2 linked regions of the Drosophila melanogaster genome follow. The gene in region 2 interacts genetically with the main gene of each other region. Each region holds a gene or a part of one and is shown on either strand. Other genes may lie near its edges.

What was found.
Region 1: of Synj (region 2) and mnb, changing one suppresses a phenotype caused by changing the other (phenotypic suppression), as found in Drosophila melanogaster (one study listed by BioGRID).

Annotation. Positions count from the first base shown.
Region 1 is NC_004354.4:17,873,420-17,877,175, forward strand, and holds the start of mnb (minibrain), read right to left. Parts: upstream 1,622-3,756; 5' UTR 1,461-1,621; coding exon 986-1,460; intron 1-985. UniProt on the Drosophila melanogaster protein: Role in the specific control of proper proliferation of optic lobe neuronal progeny.
Region 2 is NT_033778.4:22,078,279-22,082,034, forward strand, and holds the start of Synj (synaptojanin), read left to right. Parts: upstream 1-1,897; 5' UTR 1,898-1,927; intron 1,928-2,164; exon of another isoform or gene 2,165-2,260; intron 2,261-2,406; exon of another isoform or gene 2,407-2,485; intron 2,486-2,796; 5' UTR 2,797-2,901; coding exon 2,902-3,756.

The sequences.
Region 1 (3,756 bases), on a different chromosome or scaffold from region 2:
AAGAGATCAGAGATACTATCAGATATCGGCGGGAATTATACAAATATATATGTGTGTATATATAATTATTGCGATGTATTTGCTTGCCGCCTTCGTTGTGCGCCGTTCTGTGCTGGTTCATTGACCGGATCGCTCGGACACCGCTCCTCTGCAAAATGCACCTGTTTTCTTGCACACCTGACTACGTCAGCGTCAAGAGTTGCCAAAACGATAATAAAAGCAAAGGGTAGGGCGAAAAGTGTGGACACACACCGCAGGAAAAACACTGCCAATTCCCATTTAAGATCTGATATAGAGCCAGCCCAGAGTCATGCATTCTTTTTTTAACTCAAGATGCAAAATTCGTTCTAAAATTAGTTGTTGAATTGGTGGTCATACTAGTGAGTTAAAGATAGTAAGCACATGATGCTGCCATATAAAAAAAAACGAATTGGAACATTTCTCTTCCTTTCCGAAGAATCTACTTTTGCTAGCAATATTTTTTTCCTGTGCATTGGCAGGCCAGCAGAGGTAAGTAAAAAAGAAGCTCTACCTTAATTTTAGAACCAGACGGAACTGAACTGAAATTATTACACAATATGCAGGCGCAGATACATAATTCTGCCGTTTGTAGATTCTATTTCCCCACGTTCCTATGACCATTTCACATGCTCACTCTTTTTGTTTTGTTGCTCTTCGCTCTTCGTTCGCTGATGGCTTGTGCAACAAAAATAGACCCAACGTTATAAACAAGAATGAAAAAATCAAGCAACAGGGTAAAACCTGTAAGTGGCAGCAGCTGTGTTTTCGATGATAATCCGCGACATTTGATATTCCAACACTCCATTTCTAATTTCCAAAAAAACATGTGGCGAGAGCAAAGATACTTTTCCTTTCTATTCGTTGACTAATTGTGCAAACGCAAAAAAAAAAGTTGTCGGTCAGTTAAACTGACATGCAACAAATTTTTCTAGGCCAACTTCTCTGTTTCATCCAATGGGCTTACTAGTATAATAGAGTGCCCGTTCCGCCTTCATTCTCGATGATGATGATGACGATCCCTGAACCATCAGCACATTGCCATCGACCCGATCTCTATCTCTATCTCCATCTTCATCTACATCCCGCTTCACATCCAACAGCACCGTGTCCCAGGCACTTTTGGGCAGGAATTTAGAGATGATCTGATGGCCAGCGTCGTCGTCATCCGCCTGATCCTGATTGCCATTTGTTGGCCAATTTCTGACACGATGCTGGCAGCCAATTTGCGCCAAATAATTGATGTAATGAGGCGGATGATGGTGATTGTGGTGGCCGTTGTGCGGATGGTGGTTCAAGCTGCTGCTGCTGCTGGTGATGATGCTGCTACTGAAGCTGCCACCAGCTGCTGCACCAACCACGAATGGCGCCCAATCCGCGGTGGCCTTGTCAACCGGATCGCCGCCATTCATTGACTGCCAATAAACCAGGGCCGTCGACATATCACTGGCAATCGGAATCGCAATCGGAATCGCGAACGCACTTTGCACTAACCGCTTCCTTTTTTCAATCAAAATGATATGCTTATTTCGTTTATTTTTATATAGTTTATTTAAGTAATTTAAGATCCATTTGGATCTGGCTGTATGAAGCGCGGTCTGTTTCGTGTGAAAATTCAGCGCAAACTGCCTCGGTTTTTGTTCCCCCAGTTCTGTCCCCAAAGTTTGCCACTCGTCGTTGTTGTTGTTGTTGTCGTCTGTTTTATTTATACGGAACCGTGTTTTCTCCCTGCTCTTTTATTTCACTTGGTGTTTTTGCACTTTTTTGCTGCACTTATGCGGAACACACGAACGAAGCCGAGCGCCGATAGCGAGATTGCAGCAACGATCATCACGATCTCGGCGTGGTAATGATCATGAAGCTAAAGTAGGGAATGCCCGGCTATCTGGCATCGGAATTCGCTATATTAACACTACACTAGACTCGTTCAGTGTTGCACAATTGCATTTGAGTAAATGGGAAATAGAAAAATCTCTTGGTGATATCTCTTGGTCAAATCCATACCTTTCGACCTTTGTTTCGGAGTGCACATCTCTGGTGTTGAAGAAGCTCAACTGATTGAAACAGTGTTGGGTAAATACCTTTCAGTATCTCCATATTGATCACAGAGTTACTTGCACTTGCTTGTGATTAACCACAAACGAATAAATCGGTTTTCTTAGGTATTCTCCCCCATTATTGTTGGTGAAAAGCTCACTTCTGGCTGGCCTTTTGTTTTCTATCACAAGTGTTTTTTTTGACAGAGGGAGTTCCGCTTTTCGTTGATAATGGCATTTCAATAATGACATGTAGCGTAGTGACATGTAGCGAATGCATGTGGGGTAAATGGGGGAACGCTGGGTGGTTGTGGGTGGGAAAGTGCTCGCACTTGTCTCGTGCGCGCAAAGATACAAATATACATACATACATACATACATACATATGTAAGTATGCATTTCTTTGTTTCGGCTTTTGCGTCGTCGGCAAGTCAAGGAAATCAAAACAAAGCAAACGAAATGTGAAATTAAAATAAAATGTAATTAACCCCAGGCAAAAAGTGTGTGTACATAATGCAGTGCGTTACAAAACTGTATAACTGGTTGAGCTGCCACTTGGCAGAGTGGGCCATAAAAATAGGAAATCGTTTTCGAAACTAAAATGCCCAGTAATGCCAAACGATTTTGAAATAATTATAAACTTGTGTTCTTTCGAGTTATGTAAATGTCTGTCTACACGCCAAGCTAATTTGTGTTTTCCATTTCGCCAAAGCAATTAAAAAATATTTTGCTTTTATAATAAACAAATTGAACGCTTGCCAATCGATGGAAGAGTTGAATAATTAATGCGTTCGGGGCCCCTCGAAAGATTCGCAGGAGCATAGCCACCAGTCCCTCTATTTATAGGGATCCCATCCGATCCGATCCGATCCGATCCTCCGTTCGCAATGTGGGATCTTTGCCCCAAAGTTCTCATGTTCGTTGTTTGTCTGTCGCGTCTCTCGGCCGAAAATAAAAATAGTTGACGACATTTTGCGTTCGCTCCCCGCCACCTTTTTGGCCACTTGCATTTTGGGCGAGGAATGAGGGGGGGGGGGGGGATAGGGCCACTACCAACAATCACACACCATCGATAATTGCATCCGGAGCAGGTGACTCACATCGTGACGTGACTGCGACTGTAATACTACTATTACCCACCACTTGACAACTTTATGAACAGATGGCGGCGCCAGCTAATCGGATACTAAAGTCTCGACATATTTGGCAAATAATGGGGAAGTCCCGCATAGACTTACGGGTTTTTCAAAACAGTGCGGATTGGAACAAATACAGACGGTGACGGTTGAGTGATAAGCAAACAGTTGGACATATTATTTACTGAATGAATGCAGTGACATTGTTGCATTCCTCGCCTGAGCAGGAAAAGCGGTGGAAATGGTGGGGAAAGGCAGCCCAAATTAGCTGTTCGAAATCTGGCCATTATTTAAAATAGCACCTGATCCTGATACTAATTATTATTATCGGTGATATGCCCCATTTGCGTGGAATTATTGCAGAACATGGCACTGCCATCGAAAGCAGTAATATTGAACTGATTTATTCTCGAAAGGTAAATAATGTAGTATCGTTACAGCTGTACTACTGCGGCCACATTAACACCATTTTTTATCTTGGAATGTCAAGTGTATTTGCAAAATGACTGACTTTTATTTGATTTATAGTCAGTCCCCTCGTATTTACAATATAGCACTACAATTTT
Region 2 (3,756 bases):
GAATAAATCAAATCAAATCGAATCGAATCGAATCGAAACGATCGTGAGAATGAAAACCCATTAGGTTCTGATTGATGTTTATTTACAGTATCGTTTCTCATAGATCCCCCCTCTTATCAGTTAGCTGACTCAGGGGCCTTTTGGCCAAATAGGTGAGAAACGTTTGGCTGAGTCACACCATCGACCATAGTCGGTTTCAGCGTAATTATCACCGCACTCACTTGACTCGACCCTACGCTCCTAATGCGGGCTTGGCGGCGATTGCGCCCCTGTTTGTGTCTAAGTTATGTGGGAGGTGATGGGTCAGGCTGGTGGCGACCATTATAGCGTACTCTAGATGCTGCTCGTAGAACCTTCCAGTCAAATGATCGCATGGGATTGGTGTGGGGGAAAATTCTTTCGATTTCTTTCCACACAGCCAGCCCCTTATCTTAATGAACTTAAGCCATGACAAGCGAGAGACACAAAAACATATTTATGAATTAAATGACTACAGATACGAGAAGCGGGCATATCAGCGGCAAAGGGAGGGAGAAATATACATATATACATATGTGGTTGGACCTTCGATGCAGGTCCGGAACCAACCTAGGCCGACGCCTTTAGCTTACGCATTAGGTTATAACAATATAACAATTAGGCGCAGACGCATTCAAATGAACCAGGCGGGGTAGATGATATATTTGGTGGGCATACACTATTAACGACTGCTGATACTTTTTTTTTTGCACAGCCGCCCTGCCTAAAATGGGCGAAAATGCAATTTAAACGGAATGACGTACTTGGGGGGAGTGCTAAAAATTCCGAAAGCGGCCATATCTTGCTGGAATTATGTAAATTAATCAATCGTTATCAGTACCCAAGGCACGGCAATCCACTCGAATTTCAGTTAAGCGATTAGATAACATATGGGGGGGAATGCGAAAACCCTTCGACTAGAATTGTTGCTTCGCTTGCCAAGAGCTACATATGTATGTAAGCCGAACTATGGAAATAATGTACGAGTATTTGAGTAATTAGTGCGTATTTTTTAAATCAATTCGTATTCTAAGCCTACAACTAGTCAAACATACTTATCGAATAAACTGAGAAGCATGACCAATATAAATCTGACTTTATTTACTTTTCTGGTTCACAAAGAATGCGATGCAATGCAAATTTATTTGCGTCCTCCGGTTTCTGATAAGGCGGATTGGAATGAATCACCCGATTGTCTGTGATTTACAATTAGAGGTTTTGTTGCGACCATTGAGATTACTCAAAATGTCCGCAATGGGGCTATCTAATCGAATTGGAGGAGCATGGTGCGCACGTGAGAAGTGCCAAAAAAAAAATCAGAGCATAGTGAAACAATAAATAAATAATCATTACATTCCATATGTGCATACGGACCAATGCAAACAGTAGGCGATTAAGCGTTCTACATTCTATCGTAGCATGCAATTTTGAGTGACTAAGCTCCATGAAACGTTGTTTCTGAGACCTAATTATCTTAAAACAGCATTGAATTGCTTCCTGTTTGCCGAAAGAAGCGCAAGTGTAATCTTAGCATCAGAAATATTGCCAACTTTTTGGGTCGTTTCTTATCATATAATTTGAAAAGTGTGCAGTTTTGGGACAATTGAGATAAAGACTATATTTGTCCCAGTTTGATGAAAAATGGTTCAGATACTTCAGGGCACTGAGCGAAGCCCCTAGCCTCGGGCTATCGTCAAGTGTCCGCCGTAATCTTCAAAAGTGGTCAATACACTTGACTTTGATGTTTTAGTACACAATTTAAATTCAAATCTTTAGTTCGGCGCGCAGATCTCTGTCAACAGCTCGATAATTATCGAGGCCATATAGAATGCTGTCGTTTTCCGGCTTACCAAATACGGTCATACCACCCAAAGCTCTCCAGAATTTTGCAATAAAATCGCAAACAAAGGTATTAGGAGTATTAAGAGGCGTAAAAAATTCATTTGAGGAGCCAATAGTTTCGTGAAATCTAGTGTTTCCTCTTTTAAGTGGTCGCCAAGCATGCCGTTCGTTGGCTGCCTCTAAAAACAGTCAAATGCCTGTGCAAATTTCTCGTGAAAAATCCATAGAATGCACAAAAAATGTTTATCAGTCACTCACAAACACACGCACGCGCCAGCAGTGAGTGGGAGAGAGCGAGAGAGAGCACAGCTGCCGCCGGTGCATGTCATTGCTGTGTGTGCGTGTGTGGGTGAACTTGAGTGGGAGGCGGAAGATATTGGAAAAATTCCTCCGCTTTTCGGTTTGTTTATGTTTAAGAGTTGCCTATTGATTTTTAACAGGCGCCCGAAATTTTAGTGCCATTTCGGTTCAAAGTGTCTGTTGTACTAGTTGAACTTTCCCATTTCCACTCACCTCGTGCAAATCCTAAAATTAAAAGAATCAAAAACTTTGTGGTATTAAATTAACCCCAAATTTGAGCTCATTTGAGCTATTACGAAGTGCACAAAATAACTTAACTTAGCAAGTAAAACACTCACCAAAATATTTTTTAAAACTTAAAAAAACAACGAATGTAGCGTAGTTGATAATAACTTATTACTTAGTAAAAAAAATATTACGATAAATTAGTTTTAAAAGTGTTGCTCATAAATTGAAATCGAATGAGTCCTATAATTGTAGCATTGCAAACGACGAATCCCAATATTAAACCTACACCTTAAAAACGAAGTACTATTCTTATAAAAATAATAGATCTCTATTATGTAACTGATACACCCTTTAAAAATGTAACTTGTGAAATACACCCACAATTAAATTGTATTTCCCCACCAACAGATGTCTTAGCTTTAGCTGGACGCAAAACTTAAACTGCAGACAGTAAAGGACGAAATCACATTACTCGACTCAAAAGAAGACACACGGAAGAGAGATACCAACAAGATGGCCATGTCCAAGGTGATCCGTGTGCTGGAGAAGTCCATTGCCCCCTCGCCGCACAGCGTATTACTGGAGCATCGGAACAAGAGCGACAGCATCCTGTTCGAGTCCCATGCGGTGGCCCTGCTGACCCAGCAGGAGACGGATGTCATCCGGAAGCAGTACACCAAGGTCTGCGACGCCTACGGATGTCTGGGTGCCCTCCAACTAAACGCCGGCGAGAGCACCGTGCTGTTCCTGGTGCTGGTCACCGGCTGTGTGTCCATGGGCAAGATCGGCGACATCGAGATCTTCCGGATCACACAAACCACTTTTGTCTCGCTACAAAATGCAGCGCCCAACGAAGACAAGATCAGCGAGGTGCGCAAGCTGCTCAACTCGGGCACCTTCTACTTTGCCCACACCAATGCCAGTGCATCGGCATCCGGAGCGTCATCGTATCGGTTCGATATTACGCTTTGCGCCCAGCGACGCCAGCAAACGCAGGAGACGGACAACCGTTTCTTCTGGAATCGCATGATGCACATCCACCTGATGCGCTTCGGTATCGATTGCCAGTCCTGGTTGTTGCAAGCCATGTGCGGCTCCGTAGAAGTGCGCACCGTCTACATCGGTGCCAAACAGGCCCGTGCCGCCATCATTTCCCGACTGAGCTGCGAACGGGCTGGCACGCGTTTCAATGTCCGTGGTACCAACGATGAGGGCTATGTGGCTAACTTTGTGGAAACCGAGCAAGTGATCTACGTGGACGGCGATGTTACTAGTTATGTGCAGACGCGAGGATCGGTGCCACTCTTCTGGGAACAGCCAGGCGTCCAGGTTGGCTCGCACAAGGTGAAGCTATCACGAGGATTCGAG